Anolis sagrei: one gene and its partner. The protein of the gene in region 1 interacts with the protein of each later gene in a pairwise test. Links are inferred from orthologs where the notes say so. Each region holds a gene or a part of one and is shown in the gene's direction. Other genes may lie near its edges. The genes, in order: CCDC172 and FAM13C.

Region 1 (15,741 bases):
ATGAAATCAGTAAAGATTTATTACAAAGCAAATAAAAATAAACATCTATCCTTATGACAGTTCCACACATACAGTGCACATCCACCCTTTTTCAAATGAAGAAACACATTCCTCTGAAGTCTCTCTACTTCTTAGCTCCCAAATCCAGACTGCTCCCTTTCATCTAACTAGTTCTTAAACATTTTCTGACTCTAACTCTATTCCATCCTGCTCCCATTTCTTTCTTAATGCAGTTTGACACCACTTTGACTACTATGGTGGCAGCCAGGTTATTAACTGGGGTGAGCTTTAGGGAGCATACCACACCCCTTTTAAAGCAAATCCACTGCCTCCTGACAAGTTTCCGGGCCCAATTCAAAGTGCAGGTGATTACCTATTAAACTCTATACGTTTTGGGTCCAACCTATCTTTGAGACTGCATTTCCTTCTACAAACCGGCACGGGTGTTAAGATCTGCCTGGGAGGCCCTTCTCAGTCCCACCACTCTCTCAAGTACGGTTGGTGGGAAGGAGAGAGAGGGCTTTCTTGATGGCCCTGGAATACCCTCCCTAAAAAAATTAGATTAGCCCCCTCTCTTCAGGCCTTCCAGGTGAGTCTAAAACATGGCTCTTCAAACAGGCCTTTGATCCTGAGTAATCCATGGTCAACATGATGAATCATTGATAGTACTGCCTTGCACTTTGATTGTTATGTTGGGTAGTCAGATTACCTGCAGGTTCTACTGCATTTTAGGTAAACTGCCTTGAGTCGCCTCCGGGCTGAGAGGGGCTGTATACAAGTATAGTAAATAAACAAACAAACAAACAGCTCTGCCCACTTTAAAACAAACAAGCTTCATGTGTAGTTTGGCTGCCACTCAGCTAATCTGGGTGTCCTTTGCTCTGTGTGACAGACTGAGGCTTGATCTACACTGCCGCTCTGAGTCCCCTTCGCAAATAAATAGAATAGAATAGAATCAAAATTATCAAAGTAGATAATGCAAATTATCTACTTTGAACTGAGTCTATACTACTATTCAAAGCAGATAATCTGGATTTTATATGGCGGTGTAGATGGGGGCCTGTGTTAAGCTCCTGTCGAAAGAATCTGTCCAGGAATTAGAAATCATGCATGTGCTTCTTATATCACATGTATGGAAATAATGCTTCCATACCTAAAAACTTCACACCACAAAATCCAGACCCCTTACGTTTGTGAACTTCAGTGCATTTCAGTACATATTCAGCTCCTTGTCTTTCAAGGAAAATTGAGATTGTAAGAAAGGGACAAAGTGAAAACAAGAGAAATGTTTAGGGGTACAGTCAATTGACAAATGTTTTCACAAACTCAGACATCTCTCTCAAACTCAGAACAGGAGGATGTTATCTCATGGAAACCATTTTTTGAACTTCATTCAGATAAGGGTTTTAGCATAGCCATTTACTTTAAATTTAAATGGCAATTTAACATAGAGACAGTAGTTAATCTCCCCCCTTCTAACATAAATGCATTTGAAATGAGATGTCTTAGCATATTACCATTTATGTTAATGCCTCTCAACTAACTTTCCTATCTGTGTATAAAATAATACGTATAGGATAGATTCACATGATAAATCAAGCCAATGCATCATCATTTTGCTATATAGTTAATTTATTATGGTTGGCAGTAAGCAGCTAATGGTTTGTTCCCTTCCAGCACACAAAAGAATGATGCACAGAACAAGCCCTTGTTTGTTGGATCTTGGGAGAGAAAGGAAACCATCTATTACCAGATGAGATGATAAACCAACCACAGCGCAAACTCCATGGCCCCATTCACACTGCTAAATAAAATCCAGATTTTCTGTTTTGAAGTGGATTATATGGCAATATATACTAAAGCCCCTTCTACATTGCCATATAATCCAGACTATCAAATCAGATAATCCACATTATCTGCTTTGAACTGGAGTATATGAGTCCAAACTGGCAGATAATCCAGTTCAAATCAGACAATCTGGATTTTATATGGCAGTGTAGAAGGGGTTTCAAATAATTCAGTTCAAAACAGGTAATATGGATTATTTTATTTGATAATCTAGATTATATGGCAGTGTAGATCCAACCTGATAGAAGACTCTTTCACACTAACACAGGCCCCTTCCACACAGCTGCATATAATCCACATTGAAGTGGATTATATGGTTTTGTGGACTCAGATAATCCAGTTCAAAGCAGGTATTGTGGATTATCTGCCTTGATATTCTGGGATATATGGCTGCGTGGAAAGGCCTACAGTCATATCATTATATGCTTTCACCTTAACTACCATGGAAACATCCTATAAAATCCTCATATTAGCAATTCACAGTCCCTTGCCAGAGTGATTCAACAAACTCCCAGAATTCTGTGGGTTCATCTACACTGCAGAATTAATGCAATTTGATACCAGTTTCAGTGCCATGGCTTAATGCTGTGAAATTTTCAAACGACAACTCCCAGAATCCCATAGCATTGCGCCATGGCAGTTAAAGTGGTGTCGAACTGTATTAATTATGCAAAATGCATACATTCTACAATGTAAGTGCACTCTGTGTCTAATTAAAATCAACAGGATTAAAGTTATGTACCATATCTCATTGATTTCAGTGGATCATCAGCCACAGATATTTAGTAAGCATTTAGAAGCAAAGGAGCTACGGATGGATGGGAACTTCTCAAGAGTGAAATACTCAAGGCGCAATTGCAAACCGTGCCAACAAAGAGAAAAAATAGGACAAGTGCAAAGAGGCCAGAATGGATGTCCAAAGAACTTCTAACTGTGCTAAGACACAAAAGAGACATGCACAAGAAGTGGAAAAAGGGAGAAATCACCAAAGAAGAATTCAAACAAATAGCCAACACCTGTAGGGAAAAGGTCCGCAAGGCTAAAGCAAAAAACGAGCTCAGACTTGCCAGGGACATTAAAAACAATAAAAAGGGCTTCTATTCTTATGTCAGTAGAAAAAGGAAAAACAAGGAGGCGATAGGACCTCTTCGAGGAGAAGATGGGGCAATGCTGACAGGGGATAGGGAAAAGGCAGAACTACTTAATGCCTTCTTTGCCTCGGTCTTCTCACAAAAAGAGAGTCTTCAACCTCAGCAAGATGGAGTGGATGAGGGATTGGAGGACATCCAACCCCAAATTGGGAAAGAAGTCGTCCAGGAATACCTGGCCGCTCTTAATGAGTTCAAGTCCCCAGGGCCAGATCAACTACACCCAAGAGTACTGAAGGAACTAGCGGAAGTCATTTCGGAACCATTGGCAACCATCTTTGAGAGTTCTTGGAGAACGGGAGAAGTTCCAGCAGATTGGAGGAGGGCCAATGTGGTCCCAATCTTCAAGAAGGGAAAAAAGGATGACCCAAACAACTACCGTCCGGTCAGCCTCACGTCGATACCGGGCAAGATTCTGGAAAAGATTGTTAAGGAAGCGGTCTGCAAACACTTAGAAACAAATGCAGTCATCGCTAATAGTCAACATGGATTTATCAAAAACAAGTCATGCCAGACTAATCTGATCTCTTTCTTCGATAGAGCTACAAGCTGGGTAGATGCGGGGAATGCCGTGGATGTAGCGTACCTGGATTTCAGTAAGGCCTTCGACAAGGTCCCCCATGACCTTCTGGCAAGGAAACTAGTCCAATGTGGGCTAGGCAAAACTACGGTGAGGTGGATCTGTAATTGGTTAAGTGGACGAACACAGAGAGTGCTCACTAATGCTTCCTCTTCATCTTGGAAAGAAGTGACGAGCGGAGTGCCGCAGGGTTCCGTCCTGGGCCCGGTCCTGTTCAACATCTTTATTAATGACTTAGATGAAGGGCTAGAAGGCATGATCATCAAGTTTGCAGACGACACCAAATTGGGAGGGATAGCCAATAGTCCAGAGGACAGGAGCAGAATTCAAAACGATCTTGACAGATTAGAGAGATGGGCCAAAACTAACAAAATGAAGTTCAACAGTGACAAATGCAAGATACTCCACTTTGGCAGAAAAAATGAGATGCAAAGATACAGAATGGGGGACGCCTGGCTCGAGAGCAGTACGTGTGAAAAAGATCTTGGAGTCCTCGTGGACAACAAGTTAAACATGAGCCAACAATGTGATGTGGCGGCAAAAAAAGCCAATGGGATTTTGGCCTGCATCAATAGGAGCATAGTGTCTAGATCTAAGGAAGTAATGCTACCCCTCTATTCTGCTTTGGTTAGACCACATCTGGAATATTGTGTCCAATTCTGGGCACCACAATTCAAGAGAGATATTGACAAGCTGGAAAGTGTCCAGAGGAGGGCGACTAAAATGATCAAGGGTCTGGAGAACAAGCCCTATGAGGAGCGGCTTAGGGAACTGGGCATGTTTAGCCTGAAGAAGAGAAGGCTGAGAGGAGATATGATAGCCATGTATAAATATGTGAGAGGAAGCCACAGGGAGGAGGGAGCAAGCTTGTTTTCTGCTTCCTTGGAGACTAGGACACGGAACAATGGCTTCAAACTACAAGAAAGGAGATTCCATCTGAACATTAGGAAGAACTTCCTGACTGTGAGAGCCGTTCAGCAGTGGAACTCTCTGCCCCGGAGTGTGGTGGAGGCTCCTTCCTTGGAAGCTTTTAAGCAGAGGCTGGATGGCCATCTGTCAGGGGTGATTTGAATGCAATATTCCTGCTTCTTGGCAGGGGGTTGGACTGGATGGCCCATGAGGTCTCTTCCAACTCTTTGATTCTATGATTCTATGATTCTATGATTCTATGATTCTACAATAAATAAATAAACAAACATACTGTACCTTCTGTTGAAGATGATGTTCACTCTTGAGACAAAAAGGATGCTTGCTGCCACCTGCAGTTGGTAGAAATATTGGTGTTTAAAATATGTTTTTATTGTTAATACATTTATTTACATCCTACCTTTCCCCCAAAACGGATTTGAGATGGGTCAAATACATATAAAAGCAGAGAATACACACAACCATATTACCCAGAATATCATGAGATAACCCAAAATATCTGCTTCAACTGAGTCCACACTGCCATATAATCCAGTTCAATGTGGATTTTATACAGCTTTGTAGAAGGGGCTTGTGCATAATCCAGATTATCAAGGCAAATAATCCAGATTATCCGATTTGAATTGGATGAGTCTACACTGCCATATAATCCAGTTCAAAGCAGATCATTTGGATTATATATGTCAGTGTAGAAGGGGCCTTAGATTGCAATTCTATACACCCTTCCATAGGATTATGCCCTATTGAACTCAGCAAGGCCAATTTTGGACCAGAATTGGGATTTTTAGGGTGCATAGCATATACACTGTAGAATTAATTCAGTTTGGCACCCATTTAATTGCCATGGTGCAGTGCTATGGAATTTTGAGATTTGTAGTTTGGTGAGGCATCAGCACTCTTTGGCAGAGAAAGTCCAAGACCTTGTAAAACTACAATTCCCATGTTTCTATAGCATTATGTCATGGTAGTTAAAGGGGTAGCATTAATTCTACAATGTAGATCAGACAAGGGCAAACTTGGGCCCTCCAAGTGTTTTGGACTTCAACTCTCATAATTCCTAACAGCCTCAGGCCCTTTCCTTTTCCCTCAGGCCCCTTCCTTTTTCCCCTAGAATCATAGAATCATAGAATCAAAGAGTTGGAAGAGACCACATGGGCCATCCAGTCCAACCCCCTGCCAAGAAGCAGGAATATTGCATTCAAATCACCCCTGACAAATGGCCATCCAGCCTCTGCTTAAAAGCTTCCAAAGAAGGAGCCTCCACCACACTCCCGGGGCAGAGAGTTCCACTGCTGAACGGCTCTCACAGTCAGGAAGTTCTTCCTAATGTTCAGATGGAATCTCCTCTCTTGTAGTTTGAAGCCATTGTTCCGCGTCCTAGTCTCCAAGGAAGCAGAAAACAAGCTTGCTCCCTCCTCCCTGTGGCTTCCTCTCACATATTTATACATGGCTATCATATCTCCTCTCAGCCTTCTCTTCTTCAGGCTAAACATGCCCAGTTCCCTAAGCCGCTCCTCATAGGGCTTGTTCTCCAGACCCTTGATCATTTTAGTCGCCCTCCTCTGGACACATTCCAGCTTGTCTATATCTCTCTTGAATTGTGGTGCCCAGAATTGGACACAATATTCCAGATGTGGTCTAACCAAAGCAGAATAGAGGGGTAGCATTACTTCCTTAGATCTAGACACTATGCTCCTATTGATGCAGGCCAAAATCCCATTGGCTTTTTTTGCCGCCACATCACATTGTTGGCTCATGTTTAACTTGTTGTCCACGAGGACTCCAAGATCTTTTTCACACGTACTGCTCTCGAGCCAGGCGTCACCCATTCTGTATCTTTGCATTTCATTTTTTCTGCCAAAGTGGAGTATCTTGCATTTGTCACTGTTGAACTTCATTTTGTTAGTTTTGGCCCATCTCTCCAATCTGTCAAGATCGTTTTGAATTCTGCTCCTGTCCTCTGGACTATTGGCTATCCCTCCCAATTTGGTGTCGTCTGCAAACTTGATGATCATGCCTTCTAGCCCTTCATCTAAGTCATTAATAAAGATGTTGAACAGGACCGGGCCCAGGACGGAACCCTGCGGCACTCCACTTGTCACTTCTTTCCAAGATGAAGAGGAAGCATTAGTGAGCACTCTCTGTGTTCGTCCACTTAACCAATTACAGATCCACCTCACTGTAGTTTTGCCTAGCCCACATTGGACTAGTTTCCTTGCCAGAAGGTCATGGGGGACCTTGTCGAAGGCCTTACTGAAATCCAGGTACACTACATCCACGGCATTCCCCGCATCTACCCAGCTTGTAGCTCTATCGAAGAAAGAGATCAGATTAGTCTGGCATGACTTGTTTTTGATAAATCCATGTTGACTATTAGCGATGACTGCATTTGTTTCTAAGTGTTTGCAGACCGCTTCCTTAACAATCTTTTCCAGAATCTTGCCCGGTATCGACGTGAGGCTGACCGGACGGGGGCTTAAGCGGCTGAGGGGGAAAAGGAAGGGGCCTGAGGGAAAAGGAAAGGGCCTGAGGCTGTTAGGAATTGTGGAAGTTGAAGCCCAAAACACCTGGAGGGGCCAAGTTTGCCCAGGCCTGGTGCAGATGCACCCTCAGTGCCAATTTTGTATTTCATCCCTAATATTCAAATAGCCTTCATCCACTTGGCACCTCCTAGATGTGCTGGGCTACAACTCCCATCACCGCAGAAAGTTATGTTTGGGGATGGTAGGAATTGTAGTCCAACACATCTGGAAACTTCAATCTTGGAAAAGCCTGCAGTATTCCTCAAGAGTGTGCAATAAATGGTTCATGCCGAACTGTACCATTTCAAGTTGTGGGTGAAGAAACCATAACTTTTGTATTATTGCCCTCCTAAAAAGCTCCCTGTATGCAATAGATTACTCCATAGTAGAGAGAGAGTAGATTAAATCTATTTCTTCCAATTTCTAGTTTAATAAGTGTCACATATTTTAATTTATTTACAAGGGGCATATAATAGGATCCCCCCTAGAGTCCAAAATGGTTCTGTCCAAATTCCTCTCAGTTTGGTTTACTGACAGAAATTGTGTGAGGAGGGGATGGTTCAGTTGAGAGAAACAGGGCAACTTTTGGAGTAACCTGGGCCCATTTTCCTTCTTTATATTAGGATACACACACACACATATACATATACACACTTACATACACAGATATATACATATATGGTATTTACACACACACACACACACATATAGATATATTCTCCAAGGACAGTCAGAGGAAAAATGAGCCTGGACTCCTTGTTTCAGCAAATCCTCCTGACAGAACAAAAGGCAGGGGAGAAACGGCGCCTCTTGCAACAAGGTTGGCCGCCATCTTCTGTCATTTTAGGCTTGGATGTCTAACTAAAGAGGCCTGTCATTAGCCATTTTAAAATAAAGCTAATTCATTTCTCCAGTCGTGCTGAGTTTGGGGGTTGTTTTGTTTCCCAGTACTGCACCACCCATTGCTAAATAGGCAGCTTAAAATGGAATGTAAACCTTACTCATCTGCACAACACTGTTTGCATTTAGGAAATCTATATAAATAAAAATGTAATGTTCGTTTGTGGGATTAACAGAACTCAAAAACCACTGGACAAATTGACACCAAATTTGGTCACAAGACACTTAACAACCCAATTTATGTCCTTCACTTAAAAAAATGATTTTTTTCAGTTGGGAGTTGTAGTTGCAGGGAATTATAGTTCACCTACAATCAAAGAGCATTCTGCACTCCACCAATGATGGAATTGAACCAAACTTGGCACACACTTCTCCCATGAGCAGTAGAAAATACTGGAAGGGTTTAGTGGACAGTGTTCTTTGGTTTTGGAGTTGTAGTTCACCTACATCCAGAGATCACTTTGGACTCAAACAACGATGGATCTGGACCAAACTCTACACAAATATTCAATATGCGCAAATGTGAACATTGGTGGAGTTTGGGGAAAATAGAATTTTGACATTTGGGAGTTGTAGTTGCTGGGATTTATAGTTTTCCTACAATCACAAAGCATTCTGAACCCCACCAACGATAGAATTGGCTCAAACCTCTCACACAGAACCCCCATGCGGGCCACAGCAACATGTGGCAGGGGACGGCTAGTCAATAATAATAATAATAATAACAACAACAACAACAATAATACCAACATTGAGGGAAGTCAATAGTAGTAAACTGCTTCAAGTGCAAAAGACAAAGAGTGAATACCATAAAAACACAATCCAGAGCAATAGAGAAAACTGTCAAAAGAAGTCTCTCCATGGACAGTTCCTGGGAAAAATTGAGAGCCAAATTGACAAAGGAAAAACATGGAAGTGGCTCACAAATAAAACTTTGAAAAAAAGGAGATGGAGGGCCTGATTCCGGCAGCCCAAGAACAAGTCATTAGAACCAATGCCATCAAAGCCAGAATTGAAAAGTCAACGACAGATCCCAAATGTAGACTCTGCAAGGAAGCAGATGAAACAATAGATCACATCCTCAGCTGCTGCAAGAAGATCACGCAAACAGACTACAAGCAGAGGCATAACACCGTTGTTCAGATGATTTATTGGAACCTGTGCCATCTGCCTGCGACAAAGAACTGGTGGGATCACAAGCCAGAAAAAGTTACAGAAAATGAACACGTCAAACTCCTCTGGAACTTCCAAATTCAAACAGACAAGAGTTCTGGTTTCTGGGTTATAAATGTCATTTCCTAATTGGTTCTGTCATACAAACATGGAAAAGCTTATTAAACTGCAAAAACCTGGCTTTCTCAGGACATCCTGAAGCACATTTTGCTATAGTTTTTCAATGAACATCTCATAGAGTTTCAACCAATTCAATGCAGTTTGTGATAGCCACAAAAATGATGTTTCTGGAGTATATCAACTAATTTTAAAATAAGAACTGCACAATTAAACAGGAAATAACACTTTCAAACTAGGAACAAAATTTGTTTCAAATTTTGTTACACAGTGTTATGAATGTACAAACATGTACTTATAGTGTGGACTGGATAGTCTTTCAGTCAAAGTGACTGCAGAAAGAAAACCTGGAACATGGGACCTGAAGGGGCCTGAAGGCAAACTAAAAGAGTTGCAGTTAATACATTTGTAACCATTGTGCAATCCTTTCAAACAAAGTTTTTCCGAGTGATGAAATTAATCATACAAATATTGAAGTGAAGGTATGAAATAGACAACTTAAACCCTCATAACGTAGACTTCTTTTTTGTTTCAGTTAAACAAAAAATTACACAAGGACATGAAAAAGCTAAAATATTAAGGGAACAACTGGATGAAGCAAAAATAAAACTTGAAGAAGAGGTAGGACAATACCATGGTTATTACATCAGATTAATTGACTTGGTTGAAATAACAAAGCTCATATACGTTAGTATACTGTGTGTCCATATGAGCTGTGCTTTCCAATATGTATTCCTCATTTGCTGGTCCATTTCAGGCAGAAAGTTCTTTCTTGGAATTTCTGAAGTACAACTAATATTTTAGAAAGTTTGTATTATTATTTTTTATTTAAAAATCTGTATTTTGTGCAGAGCATTGAGCATACACAGATTATTGAAGTTCTCCATTCATGTTCTATTTACACTGCCGTAAAAATAAAATTCTTCACATCAAGAACTGCATTAATACAATAACATAGAAAACATAGCGAGGAATCCACAATCTTAATGTGAATAAACCTCCCCCTCTTTTTCCATAAAAGCTATGTAATCGTTTGGGTCCCATTAGCTTATTTTGTGAGGAAGTGTTGTCTGGGCAAGTACTTTTAATAAGCCCTATAAAACTAGCATAGAAAAATGATCAGATACTTTCCCGATCTGGGGGGGGGGGGGGGGGGGGGGTAATAGTTTCTGAACAAATTTTTGACAAACTTCAGACAATTTGCCCATGCCTCAATTCAACGAACAACTTGCCTTAATGTAACATTTCTGCTTTCTCTCTGGTTTTTCTTGTTTTGAAAATGTTGTTCTTTGGTTCTTGGAGCAACATGTCTTATCTCATTTGTCTAAGGGTGCATTTACACATGCCACATAATCCAAGATAGTTAGGAGTTCTTCTGACCTTCGTGGTCATCTCTTGTGGCAATGAAAGAATGATATGGGCCAGAGTCATCACATTTTGTGAGTGTACCTGGACTAGGAAAAAGGAAATGGCAGTGTTTGCCTATACAGACAGCAGACTGGCTTGATTTAGAGATGGTTCTGTCCAAACTAACCCTGAAGTGTGGGATTACTCTGGAATTTTAAGAAATTTCGGCCCAAGAAATTTTTGCGTCACCCCAAGAACACTGGTAAATAATATAGGTATAAAAACCAAACATTTACTGATAACAAATCAACATTCAAGGCTTGCTAAACAGGCTTATTTTTCTGTTTTGAATGAAGTATAGCTGAAGCATCTTCTGCAGAGTCTACTGTAAACCCTGCACAACAGATTCATGTAAATGTCTAAGGACCTTATCAGTTGGCCCACTGTAAAGTGGGGGACAGTGGGGGAAATCATGGGGTAGCGTAGAGAACTGCCTCGCTGTGTTCCCTACTGTTGAGACTTGGTGCCCACCAAACCCCTAGTATCTATGTTTTAATCAGAAGTTATAGGCATGGAAATTAAAATGCCATATCTTTAATTTGGAGAGCAAAATCATTGGGTGAGCAACAGAAAAAAATAGTGCCACGCAGCTGAGAAGTAACTTAACCTTTTTATAGTAGACGTTTCTAACATTTCTAAACATGTGCATGCAAGCCTTTCCCCCCATTCACATCTGTCTTGGCTTCCTTTGTCCTTTTCTCGGTACTTCTTATCCACAACATTTCCCCCTCTCTTCCCCCATTCCTGTACTCCCTTTCCCTTCTCTCTAGGTCATAAAGTCCTCCTCTTGAACCTTTTCCCCACTTTCATTTCCTGCTGTGCTGCTCTTTTGGCTAGCAGAGAATTTCTTCTTTCTTTTCAACTTCTCAAATTCTCCCCTCCCTTCTTAACCTTATTTGGTTTTGTTAGCAAATTTCATCCTCTTCACTACCATTGGGGTCCATGGTACCCCTTCCCACTATGTTTCCCCACTGTCCCCTGCTTCCTTTTTGGCTCCTCTGCTGGCATGGAGCCCCACGTGATGTGATGGTCTCCTGGGGAACTCCATACTGGCAGTGGAAAGAAGCAGGCAGAAGGCACTTCTCTCTCTGCATGTGATGAGGTAATTAAACAGCCACTAGATGACTTTCAGAAAATGTTTACTATGGCCAAAAATTTGAGACCCCAACATTGAGCTAAGGAAATACCATTTGGGGTCAGGACCCACAGTTTAGGAAGCAGTGGTATAGACAAACCTAAGTTCTATTTAGAAACTTTATTTTTCAAGCAAGCCACTGTCTAATGTAAAAGGAAGGTTGACTTCATAAAGAAATACATAATTTACAGAACTTTTCAAAAGTATTTGTTGTGTCAGCTTGACACCCTGCTCATTTCCTGACCTCAGACATAGTGGTAGGTCCAGGTCACAGAACAACAATCGCATTGTCTTTAGTTCATTGTGTTACTACTTGTAAAACTAATTTGTGACAATCATAATTTTATTCCTTTGCTGCTATTTTGCAATTGACTCACTCTAATTAACAGTTTCAGTAGCTATATAGGGTCATGAATGTGTGGGAATAATTACTGTGAGTTACTAATAGGGAGAGGTAGAAAAGCATTTCTAAACCAATTATGGTCTTAAAACTACATAATTAATTACCTGAAGGTCAATGCCTATTAACTTCCATGTTTGGTTAGTCTCAATTTATTTTTCTGAAGACTTTGCACTTTGCAAGCTTGGGAAAAACCAATATGTATTACCTGCACAATAAATACTCAGTGTTGTTAAAATTATTACCACTTACTACTATGTGTTTAGTACAGAAACATATAAGCTGTTCACTTTAATGACCTATAGTATATATGTTGTGACTGATTTCCAGTACATCCTATATGCCTTTTTCAAATTCCTCTATAAACTTTGCTCTACATTTTCATGTGTTCCTTGCAATCCCACATCTGTAAACACAGGGGCATCGAAAAGAGGAAAAATAAGCTATGTATTTGAGTTCAAAGAGCTTTTCACATCTATTTCACAGAGACTAGTTGTGGTCAATGAAATGCACCCAGGAAATATAAATGTTGGCGTGTTCCAAAAAACCTAGGCACCATATAATTAGAACTTGAATTATAGCATTTTGCCTTTCAAGGTTCAAGTTTCCCTCTTTTAAAAAATGCTGTTCTAAAGGATATATTGGGCTTAGGGCAGAATCCTATACTGACTGTTTGCTTAGACAGCATAAACTCCAATAATCTTTGGGCAGCATATTTCAACAATTTCTGTGATGATATCAGTGATGGTAATCTCTTCCTTGGCAGAAAGGATAGCTTACATCAGTCAAGGTGCAGAGTATTTCCTTTCCTTTTTAACCACCCTGTCTATTTTCAAGGCTCCCAAAATTAAGCTCTTCCTGGGTGTCAGCAAGGTCAGTCATTTTGCATGCAAGAGTTTTGGAAAGTTCAGACAAGTTGCTGGCTTTCCATCTCCGAAGCCCCTTCTTAATCTCAGGCACATATAAATTGCCCTGAACAAACTCCATGGTATCTCTACTTGCTGAGCAACAGAAAAGAAGCTCAATTGTCTGGGGACAGATAATATTCGCATTTCTTCATGACAGCTTTTTTGTGCTTAGCACAAAGGAGTGGCATTCATATTTCCTGCAAAAGATATTCATGAAAGTGAGTGGTAGTTCAACCAACAATTGATAGGACTCTACCTGCTTTAGTATACTTGCTGTTTGCATTTTAAAGAGGGGCATTTAGAGAATCAAGCCTCTCTGTTGATATTATTTTTGTTGTCATTATTCATGGACAATCACATGTGGCCAGATACTATTGTCTTCAAGAGGTAGATTCTTGGTGGTGGATCTATATGTGACTATGAAGGTCTATGGTCAACATTTTCTAGCCTTAACCATTAAGATTGGTTTGTGCCTGCTAGTAGAACACTTTTCTTGATGTTAAGTGAAAGGCCAAGATGTTCACATGCTTCTGTGAAGGTTGCCCTTATTATTGTGATTCTTGATTCTGTTTATACCCTTACTTCCTTCATAAGAGACTTGTAACATCATTTTAGCCCCATCGACACTACCGTATAATCCAGTTTCTGAATCCATATTAGTTGCTTTGAACCAGATTATACAGCAGTGTAGATGATTTATTTATTTATTTATTTATTTATTTATTTACAGTTTTTATATTCCGCCCTTCTCACCCCGCAGGGGACTCAGGGCGGATTACAGTATACACATATATGGCAAACATTCAATGCCAGTTTGACAGACAACGAATACAGACAATACACAGAGGCTATTTAACTTTTTTCTGGCCGCCAGGGGAGCTGCTGCTTTCATCGTCCATGTTACACGTCTCTTATGTAAGGCCACATCTACACTGCTATATTATCCAATTTCTGAATCCAGATTATCTGCTTCAAACCACATTATATGAAAGTGTAGATTCACATAATCCAGTTCAAAGCAGATAATCTGGATTCAGAAACAGGATTATATGACAATGTAGATCCAGTCTAAATGTTATTATATCTGAGAAGTGTCTAAAATAGCAGGGGATTAAGGAGTGTTTAGCCAATTTTTTAAATTTCTGCTTGTATATTTGTGAAATCGATTTCGCTTATAATGTAGAAACAGTCACACAATAATCTTCCACTTTTAATAAGTTCCAGCATGTATAATTTAACTCATTTGTTTTATCCTGTTTGAACATCCCTGAATACTACGCCTCTAGAAAGTGGGGGGAAAGATACGCCATATGTTATAGATAAGAGTTTCTGGGAGCTCAATCCTTGCTCCTTAATGATACAACAAGAAATGATACGACAAGAAAAGGAAACCCTTCCAAACATGGCAGAGAGACATCAACTGTGCTGCTAAGAAAAAGATCTACGCCAGTGCAAAAGCTGAGGTCCAAAGAAGGACCAGAGAACTCAAGATCATCTGGTGGACAAAGATGGCCGAAGAAATCCAACACCTGGCAGATACCCATAATGCTCAAGGATTTTTCAAAGCCACAAAGGTCATCTATGGACCAAGAAACCATGGCATACAGCCTCTATGCTCATCAGACGGAACCAAACTCCTGAAGGACCAAAAGTCAATTGCACTACGTTGGAAAGAACACTACCAAAGCCTCCTAAACCGCAGCTCCAGTGTGGCCGAAGAGGTCCTCTTACAAATCCCGCAACAACAAACCAGGGATGAGCTTGCAGCACTGCCTAGTTTGGAAGAAGTCAGCAATGCCATCAGCCAACAAAAGAACAACAAAGCCAGCGGACCGGATGGGATCCCTGCTGAAATCTTTAAAGAGGGAGGACCTGCGCTGACACACCAACTCCACCAGCTCATAGAAAAAGTGTGGGTGACCGAGAAACTCCCAGCAGACTTCAAGGACGCCACCATCATCACCCTCTACAAAAAAGGGGAAAGAACAGACTGCGGAAACTATCGAGGTATCACCCTTCTAACCTCTGCTGGAAAAATCCTCGCAAGAATCCTTGCAAACCGCCTTGTGCCCCTCTCAGAAGACACCCTCCCAGAATCCCAGAACAGCTTCCGCCCCTCCAGAGGAACCGTGGATATGATCTTCACTGCACGACAGCTCCAAGAAAAATGCAGAGAACAAAATCAACCGCTGTACATGGCATTCATCGACCTTGCAAAGGCATTCGACACAGTGAATCGCAGCGCTCTCTGGACCATCCTCCACAAAATCGGGTGCCCAAGCAAATTCGTGAACATCCTGCGGCTCCTCCACGATGACATGATGGCAACAGTCTTGGACAGCAATGGCTCCCAAAGTGACCCATTTAAGGTGGAATCGGGTGTCAAACAGGGATGTGTTATTGCCCCAACTTTATTCTCCATCTTCATCGCTATGATACTTCACCTTGTTGATGGGAAGCTTCCCACCGGAGTGGAAATCATCTATCGGACAGATGGCAAGCTGTTTAACCTCAGCAGACTGAAAGCCAAAACCAAGGTCACAACAACATCTGTTATAGAACTCCAGTATGCTGATGACAATGTCGCCTGTGCGCATACAGAAGAAGATCTACAAGCCACTCTCAACACCTTTGCAGAAGCATACACAAAGCTTGGCCTGTCACTGAACATCGAGA
Region 2 (16,769 bases), about 40 Mb from region 1:
TGTTCAACATCTTTATTAATGACTTAGATCAGTGTTTCTCAACCTGGGAGTCGGGACCCCTAGAGGGGTCATGAGGGGGGTGTCAGAGGGGTCACCAAAGACCACCAGAAAACACAGTATTTTCTGTTGGTCATGGGGGTTCTGTGTGGGAAGTTTGGCCCAATTCAATAGTTGGTAGAGTTCAGAATGCTCTTTGATTATAGGTGAACTATAAATCCCAGCAACTACAACTCCCAAATGTCAAAGTCTATTTTCCCCAAACTCCACCAGTGTTCATATTTGGGCATATTGAGAATTCATGCCAAGTTTGGTCCAGGTCCAACATTGTTTGAGTCCACAGTGCTCTCTTGATGTAGATGAACTACAACTCCCAAAACTCAAGGCCAGTGCCCACCAAACCCTTCCAGTATTTTCTGTTGGTCATGGGAGTTCTGGGTGCCAAGTTTGATTCAATTCCATCGTTGGTGGAGTTCAGAATGCTGTTTGATTGTAGGTGAACTATAAATCTCAGCAACTACAACTCCCACAGGACAAAATCAGTACCCTCCCCCAATCCAACCAGTATTCAAATTTGGGTGTATTGGGTATTTGTTCCAAATTTGGTCCAGTGAATAAAATACATCCTGCATATCAGATATTTATATTACGATTCATAACAGGAGCAAAATGAGAGTTATGAAGTAGCAGTGAAACTAATTTTTTGGTTGGGGGTCACCACAACATGAGGAAGTGTATTAAGGGGTCGTGGCATTAGGAAGGTTGAGAAACACTGACTTAAATGAAGGGCTAAATGCAGACGACACCAAATTGGGAAGGATAGCCAATACTCCAGAGGACAGGAGCAGGATTCAAAACGATCTTGACAGATTAGAGAGATGGGCCAAAACTGACAAAATGAAGTTCAACAGTGACAAATGCAAGATACTCCACTTTGGCAGGAATAACGAAATGCAAAGATACAGAATGGGGGACAATGCCTGGCTCGAGAGCAGTACGTGTGAAAAAGATCTTGGAGTCCCCATGGACAACAAGTTAAACATGAGCCAACAATGTGATGTGGCGGCAAAAAAAGCCAATGGGATTTTGGCCTGCATCAAGAGGAGCATAGTGTCTAGATCTAGGGAAGTAATGCTACCCCTCTATGCTGCTTTGGTTAGACCACACCTGGAATATTGTGTCCAATTCTGGGCACCACAATTAAAGAGAGATATTGACAAGCTGGAATGTGTCCACAGGAGGGTGATTAAAATTATCAAGGGTCTGGAGAACAAGCCCTATGAGGAGCGGCTTAAGAAGCTGGGCATGTTTAGCCTGAAAAAGAGAAGGCTGAGAGGAGATATGATAGCCATGTATAAATATGTGAGAGGAAGCCACAGGGAGGAGGGAGCAAGCTTGTTTTCTGCTTCCCGGGAGACTAGGACACAAAACAATGGCTTCAAACTACAAGAGGGGAGATTCCATCTGAACATGAGGAAGAACTTCCTGACTGTGAGAGCTGTTCAGCAGTGGAACTCTCTGTCCCGGAGTGTGGTGGAGGCTCCTTCTTTGGAAGCTTTTAAACAGGGGCTGGATGGCCATCTGTCAGGGGTGATTTGAATGTAATATTCCTGCTTCTTGGCAGGGGGTTGGACTGGATGGCCCATGAGGTCTCTTCCAACTCTTTGATTCTATAGCAACATGGAAGAAACATTTTTATTTGAGAATTTCCCCCTGTTTGATGGATCACATGGATGTCAAAAGAAAAGGACAAAATTTTTCTCTTTTTTTTTTTTAAAAAAACACAGTTCTTGTTTTATGGAAGAAAACAAACTAACAAACAAACAAATACTGCAATTTTGTATATCAAATCAAAACATTTATTTCGGTCATTGACCAGCACAGGAAATAGTGTCACATTTCCATACAAACCTGGCATGTTTGGTACATTAAAAATATAAATACAACTACTAAAAACACAATATGGGTGAGGGAGCAGAAGGGGAAACAGGGTAAAAACATACAATGCCCAGATCCATCACCAAATTGTAGATTCAGGGAACACGATTACTGGACACACAGTGCAATTTTGTATAAAGATCTTATGCATGAAAATCACTGTCCCAGGCTGTGCAGCCTTGTTTTTCAACAATCATATGAATCAAACCACCTTAAGGAGCAGTGCAAGAATTTAATTCCTCCACAGTTGAATTCTAGTTGTAATATAAATATAAACCAATGGCTTATTTGTTAAGAGATGGAAGGAAATCTCTGTCCTCTTGACCAGTGATGGGCGGTGGATCCCATATCAGGAGGGGATTGAATAGCAGCTAACCAGTCTGGTGAACCTATTTGGGCATTAGGATTCAGCACTTTGGATAGCTTCTTTAAAGTATTAGAAGAAAACCTGAATGTCCCACTGTCATGCTTTGGTGTACAGTGCCTCCAAGGCTCTGTAGTCTCCCATCACTCCAGCCAGCATAGCTATAATAGTTTTAAATTGTTTTAATATGAATTTTATTATGTGATTTAACCTGTTTTAAATGATGTATTTATGCATGTTCGGCATCTAATTGTTGCCAGTCTGTATACCGCCCTGAGTTGGGATAAAAAGGGCGGGATAAAAGTGTGGCAAATAAATAAATAAATAATTGGGAATGCTGGGATTTGGAGTTCAACAATATTACAATTTTGACCCCTCTTTTCTGGGTGAACGAGTTGAAGAAAGACACGTGTGGCACCTTAACGACAACAGTGTTTTTAACGGACACACGATTTTGTGAACTGCAGCCCACTTCTTTAAATGCATTTATATACAATAAGAAGTGAGTGGGTGGGATGTGAAATTTAACAGAAGTGTAAAAAACATGGAGAGGACTTCATCAGTGACCATTTAGGACGGATTAATCAGAGTGAAAAGCATACAGGTCTTTATGGTGATTATCCCATTTGGAAAGGTTCATCAAGTAGCACAAATTTCCTCAATTTCATAGAATCATAGAATCAAAGAGTTGGAAGAGACCTCATGGGCCATCCAGTCCAACCCCCTGCCAAGAAGCAGGAATATTGCATTCAAATCACCCCTGACAAATGGCCATCCAGCCTCTGCTTAAAAGCTTCCAAAGAAGGAGCCTCCATCACACTCCGGGGCAGAGAGTTCCACTGCTGAACGGCTCTCACAGTCAGGAAGTTCTTCCTCATGTTTAGATGGAATCTCCTCTCTTGTAGTTTGAAGCCATTGTTCCGCGTCCTAGTCTCCAAGGAAGCAGAAAACAAGCTTGCTCCCTCCTCCCTGTGGCTTCCTCTCACATATTTATACATGGCTATCATATCTCCTCTCAGCCTTCTCTTCTTCAGGCTAAACATGCCCAGTTCCCTAAGCCGCTCCTCATAGGGCTTGTTCTCCAGACCCTTGATCATTTTAGTTGCCCTCCTCTGGACACATTCCAGCTTGTCAATATCTCTCTTGAATTGTGGTGCCCAGAATTGGACACAGTATTCCAGATGTGGTCTAACCAAAGCAGAATAGAGGGGTAGCATTACTTCCTTAGATCCAGACACTATGCTCCTCTTGATGCAGGCCAAAATCCCATTGGCTTTTTTTGCTGCCACATCACATTGTTGGCTCATGTTTAACTTGTTGTCCACGAGGACTCCAAGATCTTTTTCACACGTACTGCTCTCAAGCCAGGCATCCCCCATTCTGTATCTTTGCATTTCATTTTTTCTGCCAAAGTGGAGTATCTTGCATTTGTCACTGTTGAACTTCATTTTGTTAGTTTTGGCCCATCTCTCTAATCTGTCAAGATCGTTTTGAATTCTGCTCCTGTCCTCTGGACTATTGGCTATCCCTCCCAATTTGGTGTCATCTGCAAACTTGATGATCATGCCTTCTAGACTTTCCTCCTCTTCCTCCAAAATCTCAAGTTTAGCAAACTGCTGCCCTGCTAAAGGTGATGTGTGTGGAGAACTGGCCTCTTCTTGTTCCCCTGCCTTTTTGTCTTTGAGGAATGGGGCAAAGAGGCCAAACAACTGGTCTTAATGAAGCTTCCACAAGCCCCCTTTCTCATTGCTTCTCTTACCCTTGATCATTTTAGTCGCCCTCCTCTGGTAACTGGTCCTGAATCATTGTTCCCTCTTTAAGCCAGTTCTTGTGGGCCACAAAGGACAATAATTTCCACAATTGGCAGAAGTTTTATTTCTGTTTTCTTCTGCTTTCTTCTTATTACCTTTATCATCAAGATGTTTTCCACTGTGAATTAGCAAGAAGTTTTCAGCCAAGCACAAGTTGTTCTGATGGTACTCCGTTTTTGGTGGCTATTGAAGACTTCGAATGCATTTTTCCATTGCACAAATGGTTTAGCAACCAATGCACCAAGCTTCTGATGACCACCTTTACCCCCAACTTATCCTTCAAACACTACACTGTACTTACAGAGTGCACCTTGTACATGAAATGAGTAGGTTCACCAGGGAAATCTGCTGAACCATTTGGGTTGAAATCTTAGAAGGAGGCCTTCACCAGCAACCGATATTAAGCTATGACTAGGCAACTAGTGATTATTGCCAAGACTCAACACTAAAGCTATCTTGGTTTGGCAAGGTTTACACAGCCAAAGATTCAGAGCTTCAAGATTTTTTAGCATAATGTTTTAAGGACAACCTCAGTGGCCTGAGGCCCGGGGATTTTTAATGGTGATAAATGTCATTATTTATTATGCTTATTTTATATGTTTATGTAATATGTTTATGCAATGTGCTTTATCCTTTACTTGTTTGGGTTGAGGGGATGATGTGCCTTGAGAAACCAGACTTGGCCACGGTGCTTGAATGAAGGACCTTCCTTCTCTCCCTCCCTTCCCTTCTTTCCTCCCTTTCTTTCCTTTTCTTCTTTCCTTCTCCTTCCTTTCCTTCTTTCCCTCCTTCCCTTCCTTCCTGTCCCTCCTTCCTTCTTCCTTTCCTTCTTTTCCTCCCTCCCTCTCTTTCTTCTTTCCCTTTCTTCATTTCCTTCCCCTTCATTTCCTTCCCTCCTTTCTTCATTCCCCTCCTTTCTTTCCCTCCTTCCTTCCTTCGTCCTTCCTTCTCCTCCCTCCCTGTCCCTCCTTCTTTCTTTTCCTTCCTTCCCTTCTTTCCCTCCCTCCCTTCCTTTTTCCTTCCTTCATGTCCCTCCTTCCTTCTTCCTTTCCTTCTTTCTATGTAAGATATAAATACAATATTAAATGGAAGGGACAGTCAAGAAGTAATGAGAGAAGGATAGGATAACTTATGCTAGAAGATGGAAGCAGGAAGATACGCCAGACGAAAATGAGAGACTCACAAAAATCTTGGAAGTAAGAAATATGGACTGGCTTACATTTTTGATAACAAGAAGTAAAGGAATAAAAATGAAGGAAACAAACTGGGAAAAAGTGACGGGTTATTTTAAGCAAAGGAACAAAAAAATCCTGATATAATTGAAGAAGAGTTGGAGGAAAGGAAGAAGAGGAGAAAGAAGACAAGGAGAGAAGAAAGGGAAGGAGAAGAGGAGGAGGTTTGGATGAACGACAAAGAGGACCCTATGAAAACCTCGGGAAGTCGAAAGCAAGAAACCTTTTTTTTTTCTTGTTATTATTGTCTTATATGGGGCTTTTGGGCTACACTTCTCCTCTCTTCCCTCCCCTGCTATCTCTCTATTTCTCCTGTCTCTCTTGTCTATTATCTTTTGGTCACTATATCATTTCATATTTCGGGGAACTGATATATACACATACCCTATATCTCTTTTACTAGTAGCCTTCGCTACAAAGTTTTTATTTTTTTTAACTGTATTTGAAAACTGAATAAAGATTATAAATAAATAAATAAAAAAGAAGTAACGAGAGAAGGAGGGAAAGAGGAAAGGAAGGAAGGAGAGAAGGAGGGAGGGAAAGAAGGAAAGAAAAAAATATAGAGAAGCAAGGAAGGAGAGAAGGAAATAAAAAGTGAAAGGAAAAAGAGAGGGAAGAAAGGAGAGAAGGAACGAAAGATAATCATCATCATCATCATCATCATCATTTGTTTGTACCCCGCTAACATCTTCCGAAGGACTTGGTGCAGCTTACAAGAGGCCGAGGCCCAAACATCACAAAAACAGCAGCATCACAAATACAACAAAAAAAACCTCACAAAACAGTAATAAACATTAAAACAATAGCAAATAACAATAGACAATAATACCACGACACATTTAAAAACCAAAGCCGGGCCAATGTAATGATTAAATTTTTTTAAAATGCTGGGCATGGCAGGTGAAATAGATAGGTTTTTGGAGATAGGTGCAATGTGCAGACAATTGTAAATCTCTAGTAAAGTGCATTTAGGGATATGATGCTTGGAGTTTCCTATTCTGGGAAGGCACACTGGAACAACCATGTCTTCAAGCTCCTCCTAAAGACTGCCAATGTTGGGGCTTGTCTGATGTCCTTGGGGAGAGAGTTGCAGAGGTGGGGGGCCACCACAGAGAAGGCCCTATCCCTGGTCCCCACCAATTGCGCCTGTGATGCAGGTGGGATCGTGAGTAGGGCCTCTCCAGATGATCTGAGAGATCGTGTGGGTTCATATATGGAGATGCGGTCACGAAGGTAGGCGGGTCCCAAACTGTTTAGGGCTTTGTAGGTAAGCACCTGCACCTTGAATTGGGACTGGAAAATGAATGGCAGCCAATGGTGCTTCTTAAACAGGAGGGTTGACCCAGGCCCGTAGCCAGGATTTCGTTTCGGGGGGGGGGCTGATTTTTTTTCAGGGGGGGTTTCGGGGGGGCTGCGTTTCGGGGGGGGGCTGAGTCTGAGTGAAAGAGGGTCTAGCCTAGCAAACCTTTTGTATCATTACCCCAATACCCCCATGCATATGGGATATATTAAGTATGGTGATCAGATCATGATATGAATAAACATAACAGTTTAAATAATGCACCAGTAAGGCCTTTTCGCGAACCACCATGAAAATTTGGGGGGGGGGCTGAAGCCCCCCGAGCCCCCCCCCCTGGCTACATGCCTGGGTTGACCTCTCTCTGTAAGGAGCACCAGTTAACCTGGCCACCCCCCGTTGAACCAGTTGGAATTTCTGGGCCGTTTTCAAGGGCAGCCCCACGTAGCGCGCATTACAGTAGTCCAATCTAGAGGTGACTAAGGCATGGACCACCCTGGCCAGATCCACCTTCCCGAGATAGGGAAGGAACAGGGGCGGCTCGTCCATTACGCGAAGTAAGCGGTCGCAGAACACTTTTTTTTTGCCAGGGGCGCAGAGGCGCCTCTGTAAATGCCCCTCGACCTCCTCTTGAGGAGCGCCCCCTCAGCTCACAACAGCCCTAGCAGTCCGGGGGGAGCCTTGGTTTTGTTGCCTCGCTCCCGGGCGATCCTCTTCCCAAAGGGGCCGGGCCCTTGAGCCTCGCCTCGCCCCTCTCGTTCCTGCTCCACCCGGCCACCGGGTGCGCGAGCAGAGCCGGCGCTCAATCGTTCTCCGCGTTCGATCCCTTCCCCATGACCGGCTCCCTTTCCCAATCCCCCGTCGCTCCACCCGCCTCCTCTCCTCTCCCCGATCCGCGGGTGGGCCAAAGGGCGGAGCCGCCGTTCCTGGCCCGCTTCGGGTCCAGAGGCGTGTCTGAAGACCCCAGCGTGCGCACCAAAAATCGCCTCTTCTCCTGACTATCTCTTCAGCCATTGGGACCAAGAGAGAGAGAGAGAGAGCCCCTCCGGCTGGAGGTATCTCCCACCTCCGCTCCCTCCTTTGTTTTTGCGCCTACCTTCAGGAAAGGTGGGCATCTCCACCTCTCTCTCTCTCTCTCTCTCTCTCTCTTGATCCCAATGGCTGAGGAGAAAGTCAGGAGAAGAGGTGACTTTTGGTGCACACACCGGGGTCTTCAGGCACACCTCCGGACCCAAAGCGCGCCAGGCAAGGGAGCAAGTGCGGCAAGTGTAGTTACTGGGATGTATAGTTCACCTACAATCAAAGAGCATTCTGAACTCCACCAATGATGGAATTGAACCAAATATGGCACACCGAACTCCCACGACAAACAGAAAATATATATCAATGATTGGTTGGGGGGGCAGGGCGGGCGCCAAAATACTGTTTGCTTACCGTTGAAAATTACCTAGGGCCGCCTCTGGGAAGGAAGGAAGTATGTAACCAAAGAGCAAAGAAAAGGAGGAAAGAAACAGGTAGAGATGGAAGAAAGAAGAGAGATAGGGAAAGAAAACGAGGAAAGGAAGGAAAGAGGGAAGGGAGGAGAGAAAGAGGGAGGGAAGGTTGGCCACAGCAACGCGTGGCGGGTTCAGCTAGTAGATTCTATAACAAAGACACCTTTATGGGTTTCTTGCCAAAGAAGAGAATTAGGTTGGATAATCTGGCCCCAATATAAAGAATTAACACAAAAGGAAGAAGAAGAAGCAATAAATACATCGGGCGACAGGCTTGCTCCCACCCAGCCCTTGGTGTGTCTGGCCTGGAGTGCTCTTCTCCCTCCCTGCTTTGGAGTTGGGCTCGTGCAGGAAGAGCATCAGCATCCAAGGCCGGAGCCAAAGCGGGAGCAATGCCTGATGGGCGTTGTGGTTCGGAGGCCAGCCTTGCCTCCCCGGGGGTTCCTTGGGCGGCGAGCATGTGCAGAAGAGGCCAGGGTTCCGAGGAGCCGCGCATCCCTGCCTTGCCTGCCGCCTCCCCTCCTCCTCCTCCTCCCTTTGCCATCCCCGCTCCCCTTGCCATGCCGTGAAGAGCGAGCACCCAGCGAGACCTCGCCCGCCCGCCCGCCAGCCCTGCTGATCTGCCTCCGATGTTTTCTTGCTTCTGCTTCAGCCTCCAGAACCATTCCTTCAACAGCCCGGCTGCTTTGCCCGAGTAAGTGCCTGCTTTGCTCGCTCCAAGCGCAACCAGGGGCTTCTGCTGGGGGCTGGGCAGGGAAAGAAAGGCAGACAAGCCTCTCTCCCTTCCTTCCTTCCTTCCTTCCTTCCTTCCTTCCTTCCTTCCTTCCTTCCCAATAGCCAACCATTATACCTTCCCTGAATGATCAACCTGCCTGAATTGGCACACAATGCCTGCAACCTCTCTCTCTCTGTCTTTCTATCTCTCTGAAATGCCTCCTTTACATTCACTTGCATGGCTTTGCACCTTGAGATGACATTTGAGGGCATCTTCTTGGAACCAATGAGGGGGAAAACACACACACCAGCCTTGAAATGCCATTAAGGAGGCATGGCAGTGAGTAAGGAGGGTGCCAGGCTTTTTTAAGAGCCTGCCAGCCATCATGCCAGCAGGAGGGAAGAACTCACAATACCCATCGGAAAAAAAACCCCACAAACATATCCAGTGTACAAGGCTTCAGTATGTGCATGATCTTTTCGATAGCCACTGGGTTTGGTTACATGAGTGGACAGAGTGTGTTCGTGGCAGGGAAGGGAGCGAGACATGCTTGAATATCTATATCTATACATCTATATAGGTAATTTTCAACAGTAAGCAAACAGTATTTTTTGGCGCCCCCCCCCCCAACCAATCATTGATATATATCAGTGTTTCTCAACCGGGGGGTCGGGACCTCTGAGGGGGTCGTGAGGGGGTGTCAAACGGGTCGCCAAAGACCATCAGAAAACATAGTATTTTCTGTTGGTCATTGGGATTCTGTGTGGGAAGTTTGACCCAATTCTATTGTTGGTCGAGTTCAGAATGCTGTTTGATTGTAGGTGAACTATAAATCCCAATAACTACAATTCCCAAAAATCAAGGCCTATTTTCCCCAGACTCCACCGGTGTTCACATTTGGGCATATTGAGTATTCATGCCAAATTTGGTCCAGATCCATCATTGCATGAATCCACAGCACTCCTCTGGATATAGGTGAACTACAACTCCCAATCTCAAGGTCAGTGGCCACAAAACCCTTCCAGTGTTTTCTAATCGTCATGGGAGTTCTGTGTGCCAAGTTTGGTTCAATTCCATCATTGGTGGAGTTCAGAATGCTCTTTGATTATAGGTGAACTATAAATCCCAGCAACCACAACTCCCAAATTACAAGATCAATCCTCCCCCAACCCCATTAGCATTCAGATTTGGGCATATTTGGTTTTTCTGCTCAATTTAGTCCAGTGAATGAAAATACATCCTGCATATCGGATATTTACATAACGATTTATAAAGTAGTAAAATGACAGGTATCAAATAGCAACAAAAACAATATCATGGTTGGGTGTCACCACAACATATGGAACTGCATTAAGGGGTCACGGCATTAGCAAGGTTGAGAACCACTGATCTATATCTATATATCTATATAGGTAATTTTCAACAGTAAGCAAACAGTATTTTGGCGCACCCCCCCCCCCCAACCAATCACTGATATATATTTTTTCTGTTTGTCGTGGAAGTTCTGTGTGCCATATTTGGTTCAATTCCATCATTGGTGGAGTTCAGAACGCTCTTTGATTGTAGGTGAACTATACATCCTAGTAACTACACTTGCCGCACTTGCTCCATTGCCTGGCCTGCTTTGGGTCCAGAGGCGTGCCTGAAGACCCCGGCGTGTGCACCAAAAGTCACCTCTTCTCCTGACTTTCTCCTCAGCCATTGGGACCAAGAGAGAGAGAGAGAGAGGTGGAGATGCCCACCTTCCCTGAAGGTAGGCGCAAAAACAAAGGAGAGAGCGGAGGTGGGAGATACCTCCAGCCGGAGGGGCTCTCTCTCTCTCTCTCTCTTGGTCCTAATGGCTGAAGAGAAAGTCAGGAGAAGAGGCAACTTTTGGTGCGCACGCTGGGGTCTTCAGACACGCCTCCGGACCCAAAGTGGGCCAGGCGCGGCCGCTCCGCCCCTTGGCACACCCGCGGATTGGGGAGAGGAGAGGAGGCGGGTGGAGCGCCGGGGGATCGGGAAAGGGAGCCGGTCATGGGGAAGGGATCGAACGCGGAGAACGATTGAGCGCCGGCTCTGCTCGCGCACCCGGTGGCCGGGTGGAGCAGGAACGAGAGGGGCTAGGCGAGGCTCAAGGGCCCGGCCCCTTTGGGAAGAGGATCGCCCGGCAGCGAGGCAATAAGCTGAGGCTCCCCCTGGACTGCTAGGGCTGTTGCGAGCTGAGGGGGCGCTCCTCAAGTGGCGGTTGAGGGGCATTTACTGAGGCACCTCTGCGCCCCTGGCAAAAAAAAGTGTTCTGCGACCGCTTACTTCGCGTAATGGATGAGCCGCCCCTGTCTATATCTATATCTATATATATATAAATGCTCTGTGCATAATGAGTACCTTAAAAATAAAAGAACCAATGAACAAAATCACACCAAATTTGGCAACAAAATGTTTCACAACACAAGGAATGACCATCACTTGAAAAATTAGGATTTTGTCATTTGGGAGTTGTAGTTGTTGGGATTTATAGTTCACCTATAATCAAAGAGCATTCTGAAACCCACCAACGATGGAATTGAACCAAAATTGGCACACAGGACACCCCTGACCAACAGAAAACACTAGAAGGGTCAAGCTAGGATGGATCTGGACCAAACTTGGCATGGATACTCAATATTCCCAAATGTGGACACTGGTGGAGTTTGGGGAAAATAGACCTTGACATTTGGGGGTTGTAGTTGTCGGTATTGATAGTTCACCTACAATCAAAGAGCATTGTGAACCACATCAAAGATAGAATTAGGCCTACCTTCCCACACAGAACCCCCCCCCCCCCGGGGTCCCAACCCCCATGTTGAGAAACGCTGTTCTAGAAGCATTCTCTCCTGACGTTTCGCCTGCATCTGTGGCAAGCATCCTCAGAAGTTGTGAGACCTCACAAGTCATTTATGTATTGTCGAAGGCTTTCATGGATGGAATCACTGGGTTGTTGTAGGTTTTTTCGGGTTATAGGGCCATGTTCTAGAAGCATTCTCTCCTGACGTTTCACCTGCATCTGTGGCAAGCATCCTCAGAAGTTGTAAGACCTCACAAGTCATTTATGTATTGTCGAAGCCTTTCATGGATGGAATCACTGGGTTGTTATGAGGTCTCACAATCTCTGAGGATGCTTGCCATAGATGCAGGCAAAACGTCAGAAGAGAATGCTTCTAGAACATGGCCCTATAGCCTGAAAAACCTACAACAACCCAAAGTCATTTATGTTTCACAGACACCATAGAAATATATTTTACGGCACAACATTGTAAGATGATGCTGCACATGAAACACAGTTTGTATTCACCAAACCACCAGAAAGGTTTCACTATCACAGCCATCCATGTGAACAATTATTTTTGGCGTTCTGGATAGCGCATATTGAACGTGTACACAACTACCTATATTTTATTGAGATAGAGATACACACAAACACATTATTGTCTACACACAATGTAGTGCTCTTGCTTTCTCTTCAGGTGTAATATTTTCTCCTGAGTCTATTGGTGGTGTTTGTGATTCTTAACAGTATTTATGCCACATGAAACATTGTGGTCTAGTCCCCCACCCCCTTTTCAAGCTGTTATGTTTTTGGAACTAGAAAATACAAGGTTTCACTGAGATCAGCAGAAAGGAAAGCTGTTTATGCATTTGTTTATGAGACAAGTGCATTTTCCATTGCCAGAATGGTAGGATTTATCACCATCATACCTGAAGTAATAATAATAATAATAATAATAATAATAATAATAATAATAATAGAATCATAGAATCATAGAATCAAAGAGTTGGAAGAGACCTCATGGGCCATCCAGTCCAACCCCCTGCCAAGAAGCAGGAATATTGCATTCAAATCACCCCTGACAGATGGCCATCCAGCCTCTGTTTAAAAGCTTCCAAAGAAGGAGCCTCCACCACACTCCGGGGCAGAGAGTTCCACTGCTGAACGGCTCTCACAGTCAGGAAGTTCTTCCTCATGTTTAAAGCAGTGGTTCTCAACCTTGTTTTGACTGGTGCCCACTTTGACCAGGGACCACTCTCCAACACTAGTACCAGAAGGGGTGAGACTGATTAGCTCTGTAGAAAGGAGTGGAAATAAAATAAATAAAATAAATAAATGAAGAGGATTTTCATTCTTATGGCCACTGCTGGAATGCGGCCTACATAGAATCACAGAATCATAGAGTTGGAAGAGACCTCATGGGCCATCCAATCCAACCCCCGCCAAGGAAAATTGCATTCAAAGCACCCCCAACAGATGGCCATCCAGCCTCTGTTTAAAAGCTTCCAAAGAAGTAGCCTCTACCATTCTCCGGGGCAGAGACTTCCACTGCCGAACATTGTTCCACATCCTAGTCTCCAGGGCAGCAGAAAATAAGCTTGCTCCCTCCTCCCTATGACTTCCTCTCATGTATTGGATATGGTTATCATGTCTCCTCTAAGCCTCCTCTTCTTCAGGCTAAACATGCCCAGCTCTTTAAGCCGCTCCTCATAGGGCTTGTTCTCCAGACCCCTGATCATTTTAGTTGCTCTCCTCTGGACACATTCCAGCTTGTCAATATCTCTCTTCAATTGTGGTGCCCAGAATTGGACACAATATTCCAGATGTGGTCTAACCAAGGCGGAATAGAGGGGTAGCATTACTTCCTTAGATCTAGACACTATGCTCCTATTGATGCAGGCCAAAATCCCATTGGCTTTTTGCCGCTGCATCACATTGTTGAGTCATGTTTAACTTTCTGTCCACGAGGACCACAAGGTCTTTTTCACACATACTGCTCTTTAGCCACGTGTCCCCCATTCTGTATCTTTGCCTTTCATCTTTGCCTAACATAGTGTATCATTTAGCTTTCAAAGTAGTATCTTCCCACAAAGCAAGTAAATAAATCCAAAATATTCGGTATGTGTGACAATGTATGTCCCTACAGTGTTTCTTATTTTCCCTGCACATGTGTTGACTTTAAATGTTTTAAGGTTGAAATTATTAGAATTTCCCTCCCAAACTAAAAATTGTGATAATATGATCATTCAACATGCCGTGTGTTTTGTAGATTACCCTCTACACCACATGTGCCAAGACCCATGGGCCAAATCTGGCCCGTAATATAATTTCATGTGACCCTCCAGATGCTCGACTACAGCTACTATATTCCTCATCATTAGATATCATGATTAGAGCTGATAAGTGATACAGTTACACCTGGAAGGCTGCAGTTTGTTAATTTTAGTTAGAAGAGTGTGGTTTTAATTGAGATACAAGGCTTGTGGATATGATGTCAGACTTTAAAATGCCTTTTAACCTCTCCCCAACCACAGACACACAAATGCTGTTTGGTTGTCATTCCCATCATTACCTGTTTGCATGGCGGATAATCAAAAGTGATAGGAGTTGTTGTTCAGTAACATCTGGGGACCCAAGCTGGGTAAAAACAAAAGAGCACCAACCACTATGCAAAACAATGATAGTTGACTATCCATATCCATGGATTCTCCATGCATGGATTCAATGGCCCCTTAAAGGCAACCATAAGGCTGAGGTTGCCCTCAGTGAAAATGAGTTTGACATCCCTGCTGTACTCCAAGCCTAGGATTACTCTAAAAGTGTTCAACTCAATTACTGCTCCTTACATAAGTCATTTTTGCAGTGCCCTTGTTAGCTATGTCTATGCAAGATATAGGGAAGAGTCTGAGGAAGGCATGGTACTTTCCCACTTTCCCCCTGCCCTTAATGAAGGCCTAACTCTACTGTTCTGGTCCTTTTGTGTTCCTCCCTTTGGTGGTGTGAGTTTTTGTAGTTGCTATAGTTTGAAGGAATGATATAGTCAGTTCATATGTGTCCTTTGATCACAGCTTTGCTGATTTGTGTACAGGCACAGAGTTACAAAAGTCAAATTTACAGGGGTGAGACAACAGAAAGTGAGAGAAATCAACTCCTAGGATGGGAAATTCATTTCTGAAAGAGCTATCATGGGGGAAAGGTGTCTCCACTGAAGTCTTATCATCGGTTCTTGTTTCTACAACAAGGTAATCTTCTGAATAGGGGCGGAGATGGCAACATAAACACCACAGGGTAGGGCTGGGCGGTTTCGTTTCGTAATTTCGTAATTCGTTAAAAATTCGTAATTTTTTTGGTTACAAAGCGATAACGAACCATTCAGGAGCATCTAAAAAATGAAACGAATTTTTCAATTCGTTTCGTAATTGCTTCGTATTCGTTTCGTATTCGTTTCGAAATCATTTCGAAATCGTTTCGTTATTATTTTCGCATGTCCGGGGCAAGTTTTATAGCTGTTGTTTGTTTAATCAGTGAAATTTTTTTATAAATATCACACCAACAGTCAACAACAGAGGGAGGGGGAAGCTTCAGAAGTTCCCCCTGTCCCATATGGAGGTTTTTTAGTGTATTGCGCGGTCGCATCCGCCATTAACGAATCGATTCGTATTCGTTTCGTATTCGTTTCGTATTGTTTCGTAATTTTTGTAAAGAAAAAAATCGGAATTCTTTTAAATATCGAAACGCAAAAAACCCCAAAAAACGAATCGAGTTTAGAAACAAATTTTTCGTGGTTGCCCAGCCCTACCACAGGGTTGTTAACCCTTGTTAACCCTTCCCTATGCTACACACTAGGCATGGTTAGGCTATTTAATACTGCCTGAATCTTCCTACTATATACACCATATTTTAGATGTCTAAATTTCATGATTGTGTAAGTGTGGTGATTCACTTTCTTCTTTACTATTATAAAATGATTTGCATAATTCCCTAGACTAGCAGTTAGTGGCTCATCTTGTGGCAGTGGATTCCATAAATTAATTCTGTGTTATATAAAGAAATGCTTCCTTTTATCTATCCCGACTTTCCTGCTGATTAATTTTCATTAGGCAATTGTGTGTTCTAGAATTATCAGGGGGTGACAAACTTTAATACACTGTGCCTAATCCTTTGAACCCCTATGATGCTTCTCCTCCAGCTGCTTTTCCACTCTAAACTGGAAAGATGCAGATACTGTAATTGTTCCTTATATGTTTCTGACACTTTAAAAAATTCTATGTAGTTTGAACAGAGGCAGCCCTAGGTAATTTTCAACGGTAAGCAAACAGTATTTTGGTGCCCCCTGCCCCCAACCATATTTACCTATGTTTTGGTTATGCAAATAAAGAAATCCAGCTTATTGAATCCAGCATCCTCTTTAGAGCAGTGTTTCTCAACCTGGGGGTCGGGACCCCTGGAGGGGTCACGAAAGGGTGTCAGAGGGGTCACCAAAGACCACCAGTATTTTCTGTTGGTCATGGGAAGTTTGGCCCAATTCTATCATTGGTGGCATTCAAGGGACTCTTTGATTGTGGGTGAACTATAAATCCCAGCAATTACAACTCCCAAATGTCAAGGTCTATTTCCCCCAAACTTCACCAGTGTTCACATTTGGGCATATTGAGTATTCATGCCAAGCTTGGTCCAGATCCATCATTGTTTGAGTTGACAGTGCTCTCTGGATGCAGGTGAACTATTATTTATTATTATTTACAACTTTTATATTCCGCCCTTCTCACCCTGCAGGGGACTCAGGGCGGATTACAGTGTACACATATATGGCACACATTCAATGCCAATTTTTGACATACAAACATATACAGACATACACAGAGGCTATATTTAACTTTTTTCTGGCCGCCAGGTGAGCTGTCGCTTTCATCGTTCATCTGCGAGGCTGATGAAGCACTTCTGCATTCCCCGTATGCTTCCCCGCTGGAATGCTTTGCTGGAGTCTTCTTTATGGCCTCATAAATCAGTTAATTTAGCCTCCCCACACTTTAAGGTGGTACCTTATTTTCCTACTTGACAGATGCAACTGTCTTTCGGGTTGCAAAGGTTGACAACAGGCTACACACTACAACTCCAAAACTCAAGGTCAATA

Evidence for each region.
Region 2: the proteins of CCDC172 (region 1) and FAM13C interact in binary tests that used the Homo sapiens proteins (3 or more experiments, as listed by UniProt). The two-hybrid records come from large-scale screens. The link is inferred for Anolis sagrei from reciprocal best matches to the Homo sapiens genes CCDC172 and FAM13C.

What each region holds. Positions count from the first base shown.
Region 1 is NC_090023.1:204,783,668-204,799,408, reverse strand, and holds the start of CCDC172 (coiled-coil domain-containing protein 172), read left to right. Parts: upstream 1-7,766; coding exon 7,767-7,845; intron 7,846-9,750; coding exon 9,751-9,836; intron 9,837-15,741.
Region 2 is NC_090023.1:164,355,696-164,372,464, reverse strand, and holds the start of FAM13C (protein FAM13C), read left to right. Parts: upstream 1-8,468; 5' UTR 8,469-8,761; coding exon 8,762-8,826; intron 8,827-16,769.